2 linked regions of the Lepisosteus oculatus genome follow. The protein of the gene in region 1 binds, or shares a complex with, the protein of each later gene. Links are inferred from orthologs where the notes say so. Each region holds a gene or a part of one and is shown on either strand. Other genes may lie near its edges.

Region 1 (7,507 bases):
CCGAGTCGTGCTCCGGCAGCCAGCGCCCAACGAGAAGCCCGCTGTCGCCCGCGTTGCAGCACCGCGGGAAAAACACCTTCAGCACCATGGCGGCCGGAGCTCTCCGGAACGACGGGACGAGCGTTATCGACAAGCCTCTTCTGGGGAGAAACGGATACGGCCGGGGTTATCCGAAAGAAACTCGGGAAAGCTCACCTCAACGATGGTCATCAAGAGCTTAGCAACCGGCCATACGGACGATCACTGCTGTTCATACAAACCTCATGGAAAAGCCATTAAACTTCATTAATAAACCCACGGTCTCGGTCTTATGGTTGCTAATATCCATCTATTTAAACATCTATAAAGTCCTTAGAAGAGCCCTGAAATATTTTATAACAGTAAATGCAAACAGTTATTAGTTTTAGCCATTCCTTAAGTAATGATCTGAGATGGCGCCACCAAAGCCTACATCGCCCTCAACTGTGGTTTCTGTGGTGGACCATTACATCGGCTCTGGGCTTACACGACTGGGCTGTTTTTCCTCTGCTTGGTGTTGGATAGAGCACCCTGTGTCAGTTAATGCCCTCACGCGTTCTTCACAAGAACCCGTTTATTCGACATTCGAGAAAAACATACTTAAGTCATTAAGGTAGAAATACTACTTCAAGTAGTTCAGGTGGGGAGCTGCGTCAGCATGCGTAGGCTGCAAAGGACCAAGTAATAGGTTTATTCCATGCTGAAAAGAGAAGAAAGAAAACACAACGTTTCGGCCGTTTCACTCCTGAAGAAGGCTCCACGGCCGAAACGTTGGGTTTTCTCTCTTCTCTATTCAGCCTAGAATAAACCTATTACTTGTTCCAATACTACTACACTCTCACTGTGTCTATTGATAAAATCCATACGCATTAGCTCACTATAAGCACTTTTTGCTCATGAAAGTTAACCAGAGATCGAAGTAGCCCTTCCGGATCTGACGAACAGGTTCACAGAGGGGCTGTCCGCCCCTTTTGTCCTTGGGAAGCCGACCTCGACCCGCAATTCCTTAGAAACCTGCTTTCACGGCATGCTCTTTGAAGATCATATTTCTGCCTTCAATTAGCTCACAGATTTGCTCAGAAGTACATACAGCCAAGCACGAAGGTCGAAGAAGATAAAAAGAAAATAGAAAATGCTTAGCTGTTCAACTAAACAGTAGCTAAACGTGAAGTCTACATTTTAATCGTTACTTATACTTTGTGTACCACAACTTCACACTTTATCATCTTAAACCTATCTAACTGAAATAAATAGTGCTTTTTACATGAACACAACAAATGGGGAAGATAATTAGCAGGCACAGAACAGACTTACTGTGTGCTTTTGACCTTCCGAATATCTTAGTCTGAGGACTTTGCTGGGCACGACCGCTGTTTCCAAATTGGTTTCATGATGGTGAGATAGGAGTGTCTGTATCTTGTAAGTGCATGGAATAATTTAAATGGAATAATAAATTATGTCGAACCCACTTAATACAGTGCTTCAGTTTGTTGCAGACTGCCACATTCACTGTAAGTACGATAGCTGTCCGTCGCTGTTACAAGTCCCGTTTGACTCCTATTTCCCACCCGAATTCGTGAAGCAACACGCCACAATATCACCTTGGGGGGCGGGGGTGGGTGTGGTCTCAGTGATAAGAAACGCCCATATCTGTGGTGCGGCTTTCTGTAGCGGGGTATTAGGATTGGAAAGAGGCAGGACAGCCTAGTGTGCCCTAGGATGAGTGTGCCATTTTGAATAAAATGAGAAATTATGTCCTTCTGCTATCCTCCGATGCCCACCAGAGTCGTTTTTAGTCGCTGAAGCCTTGCTTCCGCTTCTCCTGCTCTGTGACCAATCATTATCGGCCATGGGAGGAACACATTTTAAACCCCGCCCACAGCCCTTGTCGCTTCACCATTTCGGGTAGTAATAACCGGCCCCGACGCGGCTCTTAGCACTTCCCCCGGCGTGCAGCACACTTATTCGTCCCCCGGCGAATATGACACACAGCTACAATAGATCCGGCAGAATCTATTGTAGAGAAAGCAGACAGGTTCCAGTTCGTTCTTTTGTGCCGCCATGAAGTACAGTAATACTGTAAGACCATGTCATTTAAAACAATAATGACGAGAATTAAAATGATGGTAATTAATAGGGATAGAAATCCATAAATTATATGGTTGTAAGGAATAAGATCATGTTTAAAATGTAAAACCAGCCGGCTGACCCCTGACTTTTACACTACATTTTAAGATGACAAGCTTTAAGTATCTGGTTTTAATATTTAAGTTATTTTTTTAAGTCCATGATCGGTATATATTTAATCTATACAAATAGCGTTATTTTTTTGTAAACCGACGACAGACCTTCGAAGCTGGCGGTGTTCGGGTGAATTGAATGCTTTTAAATGCTCCAGGGCTGCACCACAGCCCTTTCAGCTGCGCGCTGTCCCTTTCCTCCTCCGTTCTGCATTTTTCTGGCTACAAACGCAGTCACCCACGCCAACCCTGTCTCGCCTCCAAGGTTACTGCAGCGCGCTTCCTAAAGGAGCAGGGCTCCAGACTTGCTCGCTCGCTTGCCCTGGTTTTCCAAGCCTCCCGGGCCAGAGAGGCAGGGGTCAGGGCCGTTGGCAGAGGAGAGACGCCCGGGTACTCACCGCCGTGCTGTCTGGCTGCCGTCTGCGCCTGTCGCAGGGCCCGGGCGCGGGTAGCTCGGCGACTCCGCAAGAGCAAGAGCGGGCTGGCTGAGCGCTACAGACTACAGGAGTCGATAACACACGACAAGCCCGATACACGTGATGGAAAAAGTCTGGATCGCTGCGTTTATTGCCCGCGTTAAACACCAAAATCTTTTAAGCCCCAGAAAATGACTGCCCCCCTCCCCTCCCCCGTGCGGTTCTACCCAGCATACGGTCTTGTGCTTTTTTCATGTTTCATTTTGTAAGGTGTTTTAAATTTTAATATTGATCGTAATGATGATCACACCAAACGCTTACTGAACTATCTGCCAGCAGGCGTCTGGTCACAGTTCAGTGACAATGTGCGGGTGTGATACCACGGTCTGCCGGCCTTATCAGGCACCAAACACAGCGCCAGACAGAGCCCTGGTATCTCCGGGACCGTGAGGTCTCACTGCACGGCTGTTTTAAACGCGGTCTGACGCCAGTACGAATTACAGTGAGATGAGGGGTTGTGCAAAGTGGTACTAAATGATAAGTTATAAACGGCACCAGGGCGCCGCAGTTGCTGTAGAGTACAGAGTCAAAAAAGTCTTATCTATCTAGAAGCAAGAGACGAAGAGAAAAATGTGTTCTGTCCCTACAAAAGGAAAACGTAATAAGGTAACTAAAAGTAAAATAGTATATTTTGTAAAATAAAAAGCAGCAGATTTTGTAAAAACATTAAAAGAAGTCCGCCTGCACAGCTTCTGTAACATCAGTAAATCACAGATAGAGCTATTCATTTCCTCAAACCGCTATGTCTATTAAGCCTCATTAATATTGTTTATTGCTTGTTTTCAATTGGTTTCGCTTTATTTTGATTAAAGCCAGTTCATGACAGAGTACAATTTAACAGAACTGATTTGCAGTACACGGTATTACTTAGCCCAGTTCTACGTTAAAGACATTTATAATGTAATTTCTCTTGCATTAAAAGGTTCGGTTCCCCTTACTGACCTATCAGGTATACTAAAAAGAAAAAAAAAACTAAGTTCAAATCAATGCAAAAATGGTGATCATGTGATTTGTTTATTTTCCTTAAAAAAAGGAAACGTTAATAAAAAAGGGCAATGGTTGTGTTTTTATAAAAGTTGCGCTACCCAAATAAAAAAACTACACTTACCAGACTGCTTGGGGGGAAAAAAAGACTACAAACCCGCAGTGGGTTATGGGTGAAAAAAACGTGCCGTCGACATGGTCTGTTTTTCTTCCTCGAGATGTGGTTGTCTGTGCGACTGTCATTGCACATTTGTACAGTATGCATGTGCATCTGAATAAATGAAGAAGGTTTTATAAAGTCGTTTCGTTGCTGGAACCATGAGTCTCGAAGACGTTTCGAGGAAGACGGACTCGTCTTCAGCAGACCAACGCGCTGTACTCCAGGATTTCACGGTGTCTTTTTTTGCCATGTGCAGACTGGGGTCGTTTCCCTGGAGAGTAAGTCAAATTCTCCTTTGGGCTGTCGAGTGATACTTATTGAACCGCTGTGTTTTGCAGCCTGGCCAAGCGCTGCAGCTTGAAGAAGCAGCTCGAGAAACTCCGAGGGCCGGGAGAGTTGCGGTCACTGTTAAAGGAATAGTGCTCTAGTGTTATAGGGGTGTCAGACATGGTAGCTGTGCCACTAAAGACCCCCCAACGTGTTCTCTTCCAGGCGCTTGAGAAGGAGGTGCAGGGTCCGGACTCTCCTGGCATCGTGCTCCGCATCCTGCAGAGGGTACAGCCGGCCGGCTCGAGTGCAAATACACCAACATGATGCATTGAATATTTCTAAAAAAAAAATAAATGAATGATCGATTACATCCCTCCCCTGTGCTTCTTTCAGACAGTCCACCATCCACTTTGTCTAAAGAACCCCCCGTCCGTTAAATACAGAAGGCTTTTCCTCTCCGAATTAATTAAAAAGGTAATTTAAACGTCAGCCGATTCACACCTTTGCACGGGACAGGTGTGCGCTTCTTTTTGCGTGTGCTCTAATTGCAGAAAAAGCAATGTCGTGCAAACTGCGCGACGTGAAGTCTAGGGCGGCCGGCGAGTCTCCTCCTCACCCCGCTCTCTAACCTCTGTAATCCTGGACAGCACGAAGCCGCGGCGGGGGCGGAGCCCCTGGACGAGCTGTACGACGCCTTCGCGGAGGTCGTGGGAGCGGGGGAAGACCAGGTCTGCCACAAGAGCTACTTTCTGGTAGGAGAGCCCCTCGTTTCCGCCCCCCCTCCCGGTTGTGTCCTGGCGCTGTACCGTCCGAGTGACGCGTCGTGTGGGGTGTCCAGCCCTCAGGGGACACGGTCAGCCTGTTGGAGAGCACGGCGCTCGTCTCAGACGGCACCACGGGCCTGGTGACCTGGCAGGCGGCGCAGCACCTCGCCGAGTGGGCCATGGAGCGGCCCGAGCTCTTCCGCGGCAGGTAGGGTCTTAAAACCCGCCCTCCACGACACTCACTAGCTTGGGGGGGGGGGGCGCAGCCTGTCTTCGCGGGGGTGTCGGAACGTCCCCCTTTTCTCCCCGCAGGGCGGTGCTGGAGCTGGGCAGCGGCGCGGGCCTGACCGGGGCGGTCGTGTGCAAGTCCTGCCGCCCCCGCAGGTACACGTTCAGCGACGGCCACCCCAGCGTGCTGCAGCTCCTGCGGGGCAACTTGGCGCTGAACGGGCTGGCCCCCCCGGGCACCCCTACCCCCGGGCCGGGCACCCCGGCCGTCTCCGTGGCGGAGCTGGACTGGGACGCCGCAGCCCCGGAGCAGCTGGAGGGCTTTCAGGCCGACACGGTCATCGCGTCAGGTGCTGTGGCCCCGGCTGCCTCCCGAAAGGAGCTCCTTTCCTCGTGTCGGTTTCCTTGTTCTCCTCTATGGAAAGCCGGAAAACACTCGTTTTCTTTTGCACAGAGGCGCAGCTTAAAAGGACTTGGAAATGCGTCTTCAGAACTAGATGATCACTACAACCAAGATGCAGACTCTGCTAGCCCAGAGATCACGGTCCAAACCCATAAGCTTCTAATAAGATCACTTTATTGGCCATATACAATTTCTTGTATTGGGAATTTGTCTTTTCGCATACCCCAGCTTGCTCTCCATGAGACACACAGACGGGGAGAGAAGCTGGGGGTCAGAGCCCAGGGTCAACCGTTTATACGGCGCCCCTGGAGCAGTTGGGGTGAAGGGCCTTGCTCAGGGGCCCAGCATAGTAGGATTCCTCTGCCGGCCGCAGGATACGAACCAGCAACCTTCCAGCCACAGGCGCAGATCCTGAGCCACAGAGCCACCTCATGTGTAATAGTTTCAAATGTTACACACTTAGAGCTGGATTAACCCCTGGCTAGAGTTTTGTTCTAAAAAGGCCCTTCCGGTCCTGTCTGTCTTTTTGTTCGACACAGATGTGGTGTACGACCCCGGTGTCATCTGTGCGCTAGTGGGGCTGCTCCTCAAGCTTTTAAAGCTTCCTGTGCAGAGCAGGAGCCCTGACGTCTACATAGCCTCCACCATCCGAAACCCCGAGACGTACCGCCTCTTCAAGAGCGAGCTTGGTAAGACCCGTGTGCCCCCCAGGACAGGGGTCTCGAAATCGTTCCCCTGTGTATGATCCTGCCTTGTGCTCATTCCTTGCCAGCTCACCACAGCCCACGACTGGACTAGGAAGTTATTCAAATCGAACGGCTGGATGATCTTTTATTTTTTGTCTGCAGATAAAGCTGGAATCAAACATCGATCGGTTCCTGGTCCTACAGCACAGGTCTTCCCCTACGACAGAAAATCTACCATCGAAATTGTACAACTCCATTTATTAAATAAAGTGCTTTATTAAAAAAAGTAAACCGTTCTTTTTTTTGTACATAGAGGGTTTTTTTTCTGAACAGGTTTACAGTCCTTTCGATCTGGGTTCGAGTTGAAGACTCCTATTACTAGGAAATCTAATTCACGGTGAATGAGCACCACGCTGGCAGACAACTTCGAAGAGAAGCAAAATCCAAGGGCACCTGAGAAAGTGAAGCGAATTCATCCTCGTAATAAAACCAAGCTGGTCTCTCCCCGAGCCACTCCTGCTGCGCTTTGTCCCCGCTGAAGTTCGGACCCGGGCGAGTGTGGTACCGGGTCAGACCCGGAACCACACTGCGCTGTTCATTAATCTACAGGCCTCGCTGTGTGGGGATGTGTGTGGTCTTGCTGCCCTCTTCCTCAAGGCAGTAACCAAGCCGTGTAGGAAGCCCTCTGAAACGTAACCACACTGGTCACGGCCAGGTGTAGGTACTGATCCAAGAGTGTCGTCCAGCTGTTTCTAGTGTAAGTGCTGAGAATCTGCCGCAGTCTGTTACACAGCAGGGTCCTCAAGAGCGTAGGTGGGGCAGATGTGCCCGGTCTGGCCAGCAGCTGTTCTTGCGACGCTGGCCACCTGCGCCAGGTGGGGTTTTCACTGGACGTCTCCGGTGAGGAGAGGGAGGACAGTCTGCTCCCAGCTCTCATCCCAGCGCTGCAGGCCACAATCCCTCAGGGTCCTTCTGAAGGTACCCAGCATTCCCTGGACACCAGGGAAGTCTGCAAGTAGCATCTGAACAGAGAAGGGCAGAAGAGAAATGAGTGAGGATGGCAGTACATGCAGACATTCAACGTGTCATAAGCTCTCCATAACCTAACAGCCTGGGACTCCTGGATTCAACTGGACATATTTCCAATCTGTTTCACTGAAATGATCTAATGCACATGAAACACAAGGCATAATGCTTTTCCCTCAAGGAACTTTCCAGTTCCTGAAAGTTCCCATCTGCACAATCCCTCAGCTAGAGCTGCGATACTCTGTGCAGGGA
Region 2 (7,086 bases), on another chromosome or scaffold:
TAGGTATGAACTTTGGAGCACAACAGTACATTAAACACACCATCCCTCCATCCACTGAAATCAACTTTAACATGCTGGGTCTTTAGTCAGCCTTGAAGCATGTGTGTTTTTTTACATACACTTCATATTTTAAGGACTAAACACACAGTCTTACAAGGCGCAAGGTGTATAAATCAAAAAGTACGAGAAGGTCAATACCTGCACTCACATTTGAAATGTGTGCAGGCATCACAATTCATGCATTTGTGATTTTTGTTAAAAAAAGATAAGAAGGCAGTTTTGTGAACCAAGATGTCATTGTTTTTTTTTTTTTGGAAGGGTAGTCACAGCATTTTACAGATGGAGGTACGTTACAGGACAAAAGCTGCCTACAAGTGTAATTAAGTAGACATCACAATTTTACTGCATACTGTACATAAATATATACAAGCTTGTCTGCAATGCAAAGGGGGCACTGATATTACATGGGAATTAATTTCATCTTCCTGTAGCCACCACAAAACTAGTATGGAGTTTCACTGACGCAATGTTTTTAAAATAAAACTTGCAGGTAAAGCATTTTAGATGTAATGTTAGTGGCAACATTAAGAACTTCCATCGTGCTTTTAAAAAAAACTGTATCCCTTCAATTCAGTGACGGAAACGGGTTACATGAGTCATCTGGCTCTCATCTGGGAGCGACTCTGTGGATTACAAGCCGGCCCCTCTGGGTTTTTGCGACAAAGTGCTTACAGCCATGCAGTCATTAAGGGTGTGTGGAGTGCGCAAGGACGATATTCTTCTCTGCAGCACCTCGAACGTTTGCCTGGGGGAAGAGGGCGGTCTGTGACCTGCACAGCAAATTCCATTTCTGCTCCACTGTGGGTGTAACCTCACAAGCCCCCGTCCGCTCGGATTTACCCTTAATTCAACCCTTGAGACGTCAGCACAGGTGACTCTGAAATGGCTCAAACTGCAGTGCAGCCCGCTTTTCAGACTTGCCCACAGAATGTCCAAAGTGCTCTGCAATGTGAAGGAAAAGGGATTCGTTCATCGGTTCACACAGGAGCTGATCTCACTCATGGGGGTTGGACTCCTGGATGCTTGTGAACGAGCTGCTCTTTTCACTCTGACTTCTTTGGTTTCCTGTTCTTCCAGGTTACTATGCCGATAAAGGTTCCTGAATATAAAAGAAGACATAGTTATTCTCTTCAGAAAGAAACAGAAGGCCAAAGACAAACGAACTCTCTTCAAATCTGGGACCTCTTACCAAAATGTAAAAATAAGTGTGCAAGTGTGACTCATGCACTGCAGATGTTGTAGCCATGTCTACCCAGACCAGCAACAACAACAGACAGTTTCACAAAAACAATGTCTGAGTGAATCATCACAGCCACACTCGTGGCCTTAAAGACTCCAAAACAGAAGGAGAAGAGGTGAGAGACCTCAAAGCAAAGAAGTAAATGCTTTCAAGAAACAAACGAGTGCGATTCGTGAATCAGTTCAATGGTCTTGCGTTCTCTGGTCATTGTAGTACATGAGCTCGTGTTTGTCATAGAGAACTGGCTATGATAACAACCACCTTCAAGCTGAGACGTTCACGAAGGTTGGAAAAGGTTAATAAATGCTCACCCTCAATCTGAAACCTTGATTTGTGGGAAAATAAGCACAGGCTGCCGATATGTTAAGTGACTGTAAATCCCCTCCCTGCAAGAGAAACACACCTACCTACAAAGAGCAGCAGAATCAAAGCTGCAACGCCAGGCAATATGACAGAATACTCCCGGGGGAGAAAATACTGGTGCATCACGTGGTCACTGTCCACAAAGGGCTGCAAAACAACAACCAGACCAGGGTTACCACATGTCCCCACATCCCCAGGCATCTCCTCCTCCTTCATCACTAAATCTCCATCTGGGAGGAATTTTCAAATATTTTAAAATGGTTGAAATTCTTTATCTCTAAAGGTCTGACAAGTGTCTCAGCTGTCTTATCTGATCCTGTACTGTACACAGCAGCGTTTCTTCAAGAGATCTTTATTCAATGCTGTACTTTGCTATTCCTAAACAAATGCCAAAGTGAAAGTGCGAAGCCACTGCAGAACTGAAGACGACATTCCCATGTTTTCAAAGGGGAAGAGAGGAATGGGACATGAGCAGTGGGCATGAAGACCTGTCTGCGAGTCTCAGGGGCAAACAAGATACATTGATATGTACTGTATACACCTTATATACCCTATAAAACGTGTCAAAGACTGCTATTGTGTCACTGGGGAAAACAGCCAGAGGATCAAAATCCACATGAAGCAAGAGAGGTGAATACCCACCAAGATTATAACCCAGACTGTGTAATAGGTGAAGAGCAGCAGGCTGAAGCTCACGATGCCCATCCCAACCGCCTGATCCGCTCCTGTAGCCTAGCAAAGCCGTGGAAAAGAAATGTTAACCGATAGCACCGATAATCACACTGGGCGTTTCGTTCTGCTGTCGCAAGGTGACTGTGCAACTGCAAAAACTCCGACACAGGTGCTTACTTGGATTAACTGTCCTCTAACCCCGAAGAAGATGTTATATCCACGCACAGATTTTACGGGTTGATATGTTGACTGTATCTTATTAAACCCCACACATAGCATAACTTTATACTGAATACAATACACACTACACTTCAAAGCGAATTCGTCATTTCTTGCCAAAGCTACAGTTTCTGTTTGTAAGAGTATATATTATCTCGTTAAATACGTACCTGTCTTTCCGAGTTGCCAATTCATTCAAATTCTATGAAAGCTGATACAATAATGCAGCTCAGATAACGCCTTATAAGCATAAGTCATTGCACTAAATAAAGCATTAACCAGGCTTCACAAATTACAAAGGAATATTTATTATAGCTACAGAAATCGAACATGTTTAAGTCCAACTCACCATATTGCACTCGGTACTTTCCTTCCTTCTACGAAATCGTGGAGCTTCCAACTTCCGGTGAATTCTGATTGGTCCCTAAATCTTCCAATCAAAAATTTGAAGAATTATGGGAAATGTAGTTTTTTTTGCGATGTGACCAACTTTGAAAAGATTGGATTAGATGACGGGTATTTTGCTTGCGAGTTCGCTATAGCCTTTCGTGCGTGCAATCATTCACATTAGTGAAGAAATTATTACATGTGAACGGATATAACAGGTATTCAGAATATTAATTAACTCGAAATTTCACAGATGATGCGAAAAAACACAAGGTGGCAACAAAGGTGCACCTGTACTGTTAATTCTATACAGTATGCCACATACTGGCCTGTTCTGCTACTGTACCATTCATAAGCTGTGTGGTATATAGCATTATATTGATAGTATAGGTGCAGTTTTGTTGCATCCAAAAATCTAATACACTTTCTGCTCTGAATTTTAAATATATAGATTTGATTTTGTTAATGTTCTCGTTGTCTTGTTACGCTGATGCGCGTTTAAATAATTTCTCTTAAAAGAAATATTTAAATGAGCTCCAGCCTTGCAATATAAAATGGGTCTCACTATGAGCTAGAGAGCGCGTCGTGGTAAGTTCTTCAGATGCAGCTACGAATTTTCTTTTCTTTCCGTGTTCCGCTCCTGAGCTCCCGGGGTATTAAATTAAATCGCCAAAAGTTGTACGAGCGTAAACGTGGTCCTATTCCAGTGGGTGACTCAACTTTTATCACTGCTTAGAGCGAAATCGGAATATCTCAAAGATAATTTTGACACTGGTTCTATAAGAAGAAGAAATCTCTCGCCATCCCCAAATGCAGCTCTTGCAACGCCGGCTGGCCCAGGCTGCGTCAGACCCCTGGAATCTGGTGGTGACATTGTAATTGCTTTCCTCGGTCTCATGGAGCTGCCACAGCTGTCAGAGGAGAGTTACTAATGAGAACCCCGGGAGAGGCACGCAGCGCCGTACTCCAGAAACACCCCAGCGGGATGGAGGTCTGCAAATTCATCCTTCTCCTTGCCCTGTGTTTTATTCTCCCCTCTGCGTCTCCTCCACCCCTGAATAAGAAGCCGGGGTGCCTCAAGGTGAGCCACTGCAAGTGTCTCCTGAAGGACGGCTCGGGCGTCATTAACCTGGCGGCGCTGGGCGGCTCGGCCGGGCTCCCGCAGCGCTACAGAGCCGAGCCGGCGGGGGCGGACGAGGTGCTGGTGTCGTTCAGCCCCTGCTCGCCCTTCTCCGAGCCCGCTGAGGTTCCCGGCACCCAGTGCCTGGAGGTGGCCGCCTGCGTGGTCGTGAGGTAGGGTCAGCGCCTGCTTGCGGGGCGGAGGGGAGTGGGGAGAGACTGTAGTCCAAGTGCGAAACGGTGTTGTTAGGACTGGGAGCAAACAAACCTTACGGATGCTCAGAGCAAATACTGCAGTAAACTGTTATGATTTAAAAACAAATTCCTTATTATAGCAGCATATTACTGTATTCTACTCCGATAAGAATCACTGGCTGCCGATGTCGAGGTCAGTACGGTTACTGCGAGGGTGCCCTTGTCACTGCTGGCGGACATGCCTGATGAGGTTGGCACGGGTAGGTGCAACCTAAACCTTTTTTTCCCCTCCGACAACTCAATTCTCTCTCCCAGACACCACACAAGCAGCGGCGGCGTCGAGAGTCGCTACTTCAACTACGGGCAACACGAAGGGAATGAATTCAGATACGACAACCAATCGCGGACCCTTTCAGTTACATACCCAGGTTCGCCGTCTTTATGTTAGCTCATCAGAAACGTAACTTCTTCCGGGCTTGCAAATAATTAAATGTCAGTGAAGGGCTGGTTAGGTCTAAGAACCAGACATGAGAGCAATTCTGTCATAATCAATGAGGGATTTCATTTTGAAGAGATGGAAGTTTGAAAGAGGATCTTTGGTAATCCTCAGGTGTGAGTGTGTATTGTCAAGGTACATTTATTGAATTGAATTGAAACCTTTTCCTGTTTTTTTGCTATGAGGTGACGTTGTAAGTGGAAAGGGATTGTGTGCCTCTGCTTTGGCCCTGGTCAGAACTAAAAGAAACGTCTTGCTGCCCACCGTGAATGTGATGTGAGAGTAGTACAGGCCGTGCGAAGGAGTAATTATCCCCTCGATGTTCTTTAACAAGTCCTTTCCAGCAGCCTGGTCCACACTGTGGTACACTATCACTGCAGCCCCAACCACTCCGTGTCCCTCTCCCAGCCTGTGGAGCACAACCGCGCCCTGGAGATCTTCGTCCGGAGCCCCTGTGCCTGCCCCAACTCCTGCAACCTGGAGGACGTAGGGCCGATGACCATCTTCCTCATCGTCCTCTGCCTCGGCACTGCTGCGTACTTCATACTGGGTAATCGACCTGCCAGGCGATCCGGATGTATTTTATAAAGTGGATCTTCATGCATGGTGACCCCCACCTCAAACTGTCTTGCAGTCAGGTTACAACGGGACACAGAACTCACAAGTCATTTCTAGAACAATAATATAACTCAATGGGTGGCCCTATGCAGTACACACCAGAGGGTGCTGTGAGGTGCAGTAGTCGTGCTGGTGAATTTTTACCCCGGTGCAGGAGTGAGCAGCCCTGGGATGACAACCCATCGAGTCTTCTGGTTCCCAGGACGCCCTCAAATCATCAGTTTCTGAAAACTTTGACCAACAAAGCGGGGGATTGGCGCAGTTAAAGGGGAATTACAGCCCCACTTCCTCAGAGCAGGTGCTGCGGCCGAGCTCTCCACTCGGCGGGGAACTGCAGCGCTCGGGGAGGGAGGTGCTCGCAGGCGGAGGACGGAGTGAGGCGTTCCTCGCCCTCGCACCAGTGCGGTCAGCGCCCTGAGGCACGTGCTCTCTCTCTCTCCCAGGTTCCTGCGCGCTGCGGCCCTTCAGGAGCACGCAGGGGGTGCAGATCAGGCCCGAGGAGAGCCTGTGGTGCGTCCTGTGCTACCAGTTCACAGAGGAGAGAGGGAGGAGGCTGGGCCGGAGCCAGTGCATCAAGGAGGAGACCCTCTGAAGCGGAGAACTTCGCAAGCCCTGTCTTGCAATGTGGAGCGCTGCCCCCTGTCCTTATCTCCAAGACACTTCAACACATAGCCTCTATCAGCCAGGGGAAAGGCCAATTACATAGGGGGTGTTTATAGAGGTAGTTAGAGATAGCTTTCCCACCCATGGGAAAAACTACACTATGGATCGATGCATGTTTGAGCACATCCAAAAGAACCTGCTGCCCACCACAGTACCCAGTCGGCTGGCATCCTGGAAGACTACCAGGAGAGGAATGATGGTCAAACTAATATGGGTCCCAACTTTGTCTGTGGAACCTTGTTCCTCACGGTTCCTGTCACCTTCAGATCATCCTTAACCCCCTCTGTGCTGGGATCATAGCCTGGGCTTTTCTCCACTAGGTGATTGCTGGAGGTCAGTTCCTCATTAACACCAGGAGAGGTCCTCCAGCTGACCTCTGCATAGATAATGAGATCCAAGACCAGAGGAGACGCATGGCGAGCCGCAGCCTTGCAAAAGCTCTCGCATGAACTGGATTTTTTTTTTTTACTCCAAATTTGTTAAGTTTTTCTTTCCATCCTATTTTGGGTTTGTTTCTTTTATAGTTGTCAGTTAGGCTACAGCCAGGAGTTAGCCAGGTCCCATTAATACTTTCCTTTTCTGTTTGCTATATTTTCAGGTCTACAGCTGGTTAGTTTTATTTTCTTCATCACGGGACCCACCAGTTTCTGGACTTGTTATTTTTTCAGTTACCCAACTAACACTGTACCTGCTGTTATGGAATAAACAAGTGCCGGTTTTGTACAACTGCAGCTGATTATTAGCCACAATGGGCACTTCGCACCTGTGCTCGAAGGTGTTCGTTCCACTTGCAGTTTTTACCATTTTCCTCACCCGCGGTTACGCGATTTTTTAAATCCAGTTAATTTTTTATCAATGCTCCAGAACTAGGTTGTTATTTTTTTTAGAAATAAGTCATGGGACAAATTCTCAAGTTGAAAAACAATGGAAAACTGTTCAAATAGGGAAACACCAGGCCCTGGAGACTGGGGAAGAGAATTGTTTCTCCAGTTTCACTAATAACTTAGTATCCCAAGTGTCAGCAGCGTGCTCTTCTTTTACTAGAAACACTTTG

What was found. The genes of interacting proteins can lie anywhere in the genome.
Region 2: pigq (region 1) and dpm2 share a complex: the UniProt entries of both Homo sapiens proteins name them as parts of the glycosylphosphatidylinositol-N-acetylglucosaminyltransferase (GPI-GnT) complex. The link is inferred for Lepisosteus oculatus from reciprocal best matches to the Homo sapiens genes PIGQ and DPM2.

The regions. Positions count from the first base shown.
Region 1 is NC_090714.1:14,954,691-14,962,197, reverse strand, and holds the start of pigq (phosphatidylinositol N-acetylglucosaminyltransferase subunit Q), read right to left. Parts: upstream 3,009-7,507; 5' UTR 2,657-3,008; intron 2,619-2,656; exon of another isoform or gene 2,367-2,618; intron 2,032-2,366; 5' UTR 1,957-2,031; intron 1,646-1,956; exon of another isoform or gene 1,333-1,645; intron 142-1,332; 5' UTR 89-141; coding exon 1-88. Other genes in the region: protein-lysine N-methyltransferase EEF2KMT, read left to right, coding at 4,037-4,156, 4,371-4,433, 4,542-4,622, 4,796-4,900, 4,987-5,120, 5,225-5,490, 6,083-6,232, 6,392-6,510; alg1 (chitobiosyldiphosphodolichol beta-mannosyltransferase), read right to left, coding at 7,114-7,251. UniProt on the Homo sapiens protein: Part of the glycosylphosphatidylinositol-N-acetylglucosaminyltransferase (GPI-GnT) complex that catalyzes the transfer of N-acetylglucosamine from UDP-N-acetylglucosamine to phosphatidylinositol and participates in the first step of GPI biosynthesis.
Region 2 is NC_090719.1:15,315,815-15,322,900, reverse strand, and holds the start of dpm2 (dolichol phosphate-mannose biosynthesis regulatory protein), read right to left. Parts: upstream 3,004-7,086; 5' UTR 2,907-3,003; coding exon 2,904-2,906; intron 2,396-2,903; coding exon 2,306-2,395; intron 1,811-2,305; coding exon 1,708-1,810; intron 1,160-1,707; coding exon 1,104-1,159; 3' UTR 1-1,103. Other genes in the region: uncharacterized protein, read left to right, coding at 3,873-4,234, 4,571-4,698, 5,086-5,301, 5,813-5,961. UniProt on the Homo sapiens protein: Regulates the biosynthesis of dolichol phosphate-mannose. Regulatory subunit of the dolichol-phosphate mannose (DPM) synthase complex; essential for the ER localization and stable expression of DPM1.